Linked DNA regions of Danio rerio. The protein of the gene in region 1 interacts with the protein of each later gene in a biochemical or structural test. Links are inferred from orthologs where the notes say so. Each region holds a gene or a part of one and is shown on either strand. Other genes may lie near its edges.

Evidence for each region.
Region 2: of the proteins of irak1 (region 1) and peli1b, one has a biochemical effect on the other in vitro, tested with the Homo sapiens proteins (5 studies listed by BioGRID and IntAct, with this or other methods). The link is inferred for Danio rerio from reciprocal best matches to the Homo sapiens genes IRAK1 and PELI1.

What each region holds. Positions count from the first base shown.
Region 1 is NC_133183.1:9,125,396-9,129,230, reverse strand, and holds part of irak1 (interleukin-1 receptor-associated kinase 1), read left to right. Parts: intron 1-1,658; coding exon 1,659-1,844; intron 1,845-3,591; coding exon 3,592-3,656; intron 3,657-3,797; exon of another isoform or gene 3,798-3,835.
Region 2 is NC_133192.1:25,813,208-25,817,042, reverse strand, and holds part of peli1b (E3 ubiquitin-protein ligase pellino homolog 1b), read left to right. Parts: intron 1-2,676; coding exon 2,677-2,806; intron 2,807-3,681; coding exon 3,682-3,783; intron 3,784-3,835. UniProt on the Homo sapiens protein: E3 ubiquitin ligase catalyzing the covalent attachment of ubiquitin moieties onto substrate proteins. Involved in the TLR and IL-1 signaling pathways via interaction with the complex containing IRAK kinases and TRAF6.

The DNA.
Region 1 (3,835 bases):
GCAACATTTCAAGACATTTGTGCTGCCCATTACATTACAAACCACAGGAAAGGGCAAATTCTTCAACAGGATAGCGCTCCTTCTCATACTTCAGCCTCCACATCAAAGTTCCTGAAAGCAAAGGTCAAGGTGCTCAAGTATTGGCCAGCCCAGTCACCAGACATGAACATTATTGAGCATGTCTGGGGTTAGATGAAGGAGGCGGCACTGAAGATGAATCCAAAGATTCTTGATGAACTCTGGGAGTCCTGCAAGAACGCTTTCTTTGTCATTCCAGATAACTTAAGTAATATGTTATTAGAGTCATTGCAGAGATGTATGGATGCAGTCTTCTAAGCTCATGGGAGTCAGACACAATATTAATTTGCCACTGCACCATGACTTTATATTTTACAACATTATTTCTGTTAAGTGACAAGACTTTTGTCTAAGCAAAGTCAGACTTTACTGTCCTAATTAAATAATTCAAAACCAAGGCGTTATCATAATTTATTTTAATAAAATAAGCATAATCTAGAAGCCTTTGCCTTTCATATAAGCCACTTGGTCACACTTTACAATAAGGTTCATTAGTTAATGTTAATTAATGCATTTACTAACATGAACAAACAATGAACAATACATTTACTGCTGTATTTGTTCATGTTAGTTAACGTTAGTTAATGAAAATACAGTAGTTCATTGTTAATTCATGTTAACTCATTGTACATTAACTAATGTTAACAAGCATGGACCTGAATGTTAATAATGCATTAGTAAATGTTCATTTATGATTAATAAATGCTGTACATGTGTTTTTCACGATTAGTTCATGTTAGTAAATGCATTAACTAATAAACCTTATTGTAAAGTGTTACCAGCCACTTCTGATACCAAATAATCAACTAGAAGTCAAGCTATTATTTGTTGTTCCTAAAACTTGAATAGGCGACAAAATTTTTATCAGGTAGTGTAGTAGGTTTTTACAGAGGGGATTTTGAGTATCTTTATATCACTTCATAAATTCTACAAAATAACCTTTTGTTGGTAAAATAAAATGTATATAATCAGACAAATTGTACATGACCAAATTGTAAAAAAACAACAACAACAACTTGATTTAAATTTATTTGAGAACTTGGATACGAATAAAACTTTAAAGTTTTTCTGCTGAAGTCGAGATTATGATCAATGCCAAAGAAAAAACAGATTGGGTAAAAAAATAGATATGAATAAAATGTAACGTTTTAAGTGTCCTGAAGTGGAAATAAGCATCACTTTACAGGAAATAACACGTTTTATATCAAAAACACATCTATAAAGTGATGCAAACGATACATATATATATATATATATATATATATATATATATATATATATATATATATATATATATATATATATATATATATATATATATATATATATATATATATATGTTTTTTTTTTAAATATTAAACTGAAAAAACACCAAAAAATCCAAAAATGAAGATCTGAAAATCCCCCTTTTTTTAAACTGAAAGGTGTAAACAGTGTTCAGTAAAATCAGCATAATAAAAAGGCTTGATAGGTTTCAGCATTGACTGTGTTACCATTGTGCTGGAGAGGCATTAGTCAGCATTACTCTTCGTGTTTTTCTTCTTTTTGGTTTCTTAATCCACTGACGCATGTGTTCATAGTGGCCGTGCGAGAACCGTGTAGATCCCCCGCCTCTCTCCTCCTCTGCAATGAGCTGGCCGTTTGAGGAAATACAGAGAGGCACCTGCAACTTTTCCCCATGCAAGCAGATTGGGGAAGGAGGTTTTGGACACGTGTATAAAGCTGTGATGAGAAACACTGAGTTTGCGGTGAAGAAGCTGAAAGAGGTATTTGAAGAAAAATAACAAAACAAATGTCTTTCTGCTTGTTCTTATATGTTTATTTATTTGTTTTCTTTTATATCTCAGTGTTTGTTCTGCAAAATTTCTATTAATGTAAAAGCACACAGGTTTCCCACGCTTCTTAAAGGGCTTGATAATACTTGAATTTCAGACATATCAGGTCTTTGAAAGTGCTAGAATTAAATTTGACATAAAATTTTATTAGGGTTTTATTTGAACAGTTGTACTCAATTGTCGAATACAGAAAGAAGAGAAATTCTTAAAATAAAAATGTTAAATTTAAATCTTATACAACAACACTGACAAATAATGCACATTACATCAATATTTCAGAAACCACATTTGAATATAAACAGTTTTGAATTCAACAGACTTTACTAAAATTCTTTGAACATGACTTTTTAAAACAGACATTTTTTAATGTAAATATTAAGTGTGAGTTATTAAGTACAGTAAGGACTTTCACTGCGTTACATATGCTGGGGGTATAAATTATCAAGTGCTTGATTTAAAATTAATGGTTAAAAAAATTCTTGAAAGTCCTTGAATTTACTCAAAATCAAGCAGAAAGTGCTCAGGGGTAGTTTAATTTATGTGCCTGTGCTCTTTAAGTAAGGGATTCATCAGAATAAACAGCAAAATGAAGTCCATGACATTAGAAAAATTTGGAAAAGATATTAAAAAGGCTTTATTGAATGCACCTACATGTTGTGGCAAACACTTGTCTTCATTAGGGTAACAGAGATCATGTGCGCCTGTAGTTTCTTTTGAACACTATAGTCTCATGACTCGTTTACTGTTTATGAAAGCGTGGGAACCCTGAATACATTCTATTGGACTGTCCTGCTTTTAAAGGTCTTGTGATGTGCTCTGATAGTGCATTTTTTTGTTTGACGTAATCTCATAGAGTAGCTCCTCACCTTTTTTAAAGAACAGCCAATAGTGTTTGGTTTTCTCACAGCTCTGCCAATGAGAGTGGTTGAAGCTTAAGCGCATCAAATAAAAGGCAAACGAAAAGCGTCTTAAAGGGGGCGGGGCATGTCAGATACTGGAGAGCATTTGGTTGGTCAAGATTTGGACATTTAAGTCAGGTTTATCTCTTCTAAAAGTTAATAAGCACAGTAGCTTGTAGATATGCTTAACTAACATATTCATACTAACATATAAAATTACTTTCACAAGACCTTTACTGACAGCTAGGGCTGCACATTATATTTAAAAAAAAATATCGTTATAGCTAATAGTATGTGCAATATTCATATCGCAGAAAAGTGCAATGACTTAAATACATTTATGTAGGACATAAATGAAACGGAATTTTCACCAAAGTTTTCAGGCGTTTGTGGTGATTGAAGTCTAAATGCTTTTTTTTTTTTTTTTTTTTAGAAAAGAGAAATAAATATTACCTATTTTTATTTTGGCATAATGATCATTACATAAATATATTTTTAAGTTTTTATCATTTTAAGTTGCTGATAAAATAGCATATTGTAAGTTAGTTATATCATTAAAAATATTGTTAGCATTCAACAATATTGCCATAATGAATGTTCAGTCACCACAAATTTTATTATATTTAACGTTAAACATCATATTTAATTTTAGTTTTTTTTTTTGTATATTTATTAATTCAACATTTTGTCCATTAAAATATCTATTGTTTCTGACATGGCATTAATATAAATATGTGATATGATTTGCATGTTTTTTTAATGTGGCTGTTGTGTTGCAGGATTCTCACTTGGACTGGAATGTCGTGAAGGAAAGTTTCAGGACGGAAGTGGACAAACTCTCTCAGTAAGAAGCTCTGCCTGTCCGTCTGTCGCTCCTGTGGCTCTTGCTTCCTTCTCTTGTGCTTTTAAATCTGAAGTCTTTCCTGTTTTCTCTTGATCAGCTTTTTGTAAGCTTGGCTGAGATTCATTTCTGTTTGTTCAACAGACTCGCAGAAAGGGATTTCCCCGCTTGAAATTTTGATT
Region 2 (3,835 bases), on another chromosome or scaffold:
AGATCTGATATACGAACAATGGTTTCTCGAATGATGTCATCAGTGGGCGTGGCAAATCAGTATGCAAATCACTGTGTCCTTGTGATGTCACATGCCACTTTATATCTAACCACACACTTTTAGGATAAAAAAGTGGTAGTCCAGAGTGTATTTTTAAGGCTTGGATGTGTTTATAAGATGCAAAGCAATGTGTGCTCATGCTTCATTTGTAGAAAATCACATTATTTTTTGGTATTTTTTACTTAATGTACAGCTAATCAGCTAACATGACAATGACTGTCATATTTCCTAATTTCTTTGGAAAGAGGCTCTGATAGGTCAGCTATTATAATGTGCTGTGATTCGCGGATCAGTTTTATGTCACCAGAAAAAGTGTCACGCCTCCACAAGCACGTGCTTTCGCTCTGCTGTGTAAATACTGTCTGTCAGAGTAGCTTTTAGCCGTTTCAGTTTAAGCCTTAATCAGACAGAAAATAAAAAGGATAAACCTCAAGCCTGCTCCCTAAAATAAAATTCTGAAATGTGTCTTACACATGCTTATTCCGATTATATGTGAAAGTAATATAAAACATTCACTTATCTTTTGCGAGTTTGTTATTTGCAATGTAGAACGCAGGGAAAGCGGCCGCATAGAGAGACCCTGCAGCCCTGGTGAAGATTATGGATGTTTACAGCAGTCTGACAGATAAATATGAATTTGCAGCTAAATTGTTAGCAGTGCCAAACATCATTTCCCGTTGTTTGTACTCTTGTTTACATCCTTGCTACAACATAACGCTAACCTTCAAACTGTGCATGTAGTTGATTGATTTTATCAAATAAAAATACTTACAGGTTGTGGCTCACAATTCACAGGCAGAGGAATGCAATGTCTCTGAAAGCTTTTAACATCATCCGGCCCTTTCCAGTGAGTACGTACATGGACACCAATGCTCCGATTTTAATATGATTACGACAATTCTCTGATTAAGAGCCTAGACTACCATGTAAACAGTGATTTTGATTACCTTAAAGGACCACAGACACCTGCATCGTAAAATGCGAAGGTTTCCTTCTTTCCCTTCAACATGCGCTATCAAATTCCATTAAAAAAGCACTCTTCCACCAGTCCTTAGGTAATGCTCAAATCAAATCAAAAAATTAAAAATGAAACACCTGAAATTATATGAAACGCTAAAGGAAACATGGATAGCGTGGTGACGCAATGACATTAATCGATCTAAGTACTATAACATGTAAGATGAAAACATGAAAGGAACATTCAAAAAGCAACTTATGTAAACACCTTAATCATATTATTGTCTTATTCAGATTAAGGCAAATCATTAGTTTACTAATAAGCATGTAAACATTGTCACTAACCCCAACCCTAGGGAAAAAAAAAGAGTTCAGTATTTTGATAACAGCCTTTCCACAGGTTAGTAGTAAGCTATTGTAATTTCATAATGCTAATCTTAAATTCATGCTAACCAACAAATGATCAAAGGAAATATATTAATATAATTCAAATATATAAAATATGAATTGATGTTTCTTTTAAAGTTTAATTATATTGTTCTATTAAAATTATATTTTTTAAACATTTTGTCAAATAAAATATTTTTCTAGAGCGGTGGGGCTCAACCCTGTTCTGGCGATCGATCTTCCTGCAAAATTTAGCTCCAACCCTGATCAAACACACCTGAACCAATTAATTAGGACCTGAACAGCACTTGATAATTACATGCAGGTGTATTTGATATGGGTTGCAACTGAAATCTGCAGTAAGGTCGATTGCCAGGAACAGGGTTGGTCACGCCTGTTCTAGAGTCATCCACCATAATTTTGTGGCTTAAAAGTGTTGGTTCAGGCACTGTTTTGGCACCGGTACTGTTTTAAAAGTATCGATTTAGCACCGGAATCGGAATAACCCAACCCTAGGTTGGGCAGCATTTTAGCTTTGTCTGCAATAATATTACAGCGCCTCTGGGCACGCCCCTTTGCTGCACAGGATGTATGCGCATGGCGTATGCACTTAACCAGAAGCGTTTGTGATCTCACCAACCCGGATGTATTTTTTTGTAGTCCCAAAGCTAACTCTGTAAAAGCCAATGTCTCCCTTTTGTTCACACAGCTACATTGCACTTGAACTAAATTTTAAAACAATGATACAAATGATATTGTAGTAGACCACCTGTTTAAGAAATATTGTGAAGGATAATGATGTTGAAAATCTTGATGTTTAATTGAAGAGTTCTTCTATGTTGTTAAAAGAAATCAAGGCAAATTTCAAATGTAAAGACCCCTTTATTTTTATCACGAAAGATTATATTTGAAGTTATTAGTCTAGTAATTGTAGAAGCTGTTTTGGGGGTTGTGTCACCTCACCAGCATATATACATTTTATGAAGAGTGGATCTTGAAATGTATGGCATTTTGTGTTTTGGATTAGGTGTTGTTTCCAGTCAACAAACAAAATGATTGTTTGCTCTTCCAAGGAAAAGTATGGGATTGCATATCTACCGTACAGCTTTTGTTTGCTTGTGCTTTTGTGAGTGCATCTATCTGTTTTGTTCACCACCTGTTGCCTGCAGCTGAATTGGTGGTGAAGTATATGTTGCGCCCTGGTGCTTTCAGCTGAATCTCTCTCTCTCTCTCTCTCTCTCTCTCTCTCTCTCTCTCTCTCTCTATCTGTAGGTATAATGGCTCTCTACCCAATGGGGACCGCGGCAGAAGGAAGAGCAGGTTTGCACTCTTCAAAAGACCCAAATCCAATGGTGTCAAACCCAGCACTGTACACGTAGCCTGCACCCCACAGGCAGCCAAGGTACCCTCCACCTAGGCATTACACAGGACTATCTTAAGAAAATCAGCAGTTACAGTGATATTTTGGTTCTGGGAGAGTTTTGAATAAAAAAAAAAATAGGTAGGTTTGAGCTGCAATGGAACAGGGTGCGTCTGCTCGGACACATCTGGATACTGTTGAGCTCATGAATGACCCTTCTGTGGCTCCATCACAAACACACACATTTATACACAAACAGTTCCAGATTCCACAGCCTCTTAGACTCTATTGTGCTGGCCAATAAACTTTTGATGGAACTTTTTTCCACATCTGCAAATAGTGATCTGTGTTTATTTACACCTGTACACATTTACTTGCTTTAGTATATACAATGATATAATAATTATTGGTATATACAATATTTGGACTTGACTTGATGAGATCTACTTACCACTGTGTTTATTTCATATTTGTTCACATGCAAAAATAAGTTTGCCTAACATTTTTGCCAATCATGCTGCCTCTGTCATCATTATTTTTAGGGAAATATATTTTTCAACAAATTGTTATTATCGTGACTTTTCCATTCATGCATTTTCCATAAAATAAATCACATGACTTGAAATTGGGTCAGAACTATTTTTGGCTTACACAGTCACACTTTTAAATATAAAGCATAAACGACTTTATGGTAAAACTAAAACTTTTCGGATTTGAAAATTGGCTATAGAAATATTTGCGCATCTCATGCAGCACAATCCAAATGTGAGCATGCTGTAGCTTGTTATGCATGCTTGATGTTTGTTGTATTCCATGTGATTTTGAAATTGTCAGACATATATCTGTACAAATACAGTACATCTCAGGTTGTGTGTTCAGCATGAATTTTTTCATGATCTCTCTTCTTGTTTCCTCAGGCCATAAGTAACAAGGATCAGCACAGTATTTCCTACACATTGTCCCGAGTACAGACAGTAGTGGTGGAGTACACTCAAGACAGCAATACAGACATGTTTCAGGTACACAATTACTGTTCACTCTGCTGTCCTTCAGGGTTTCCTGGACTGTTGA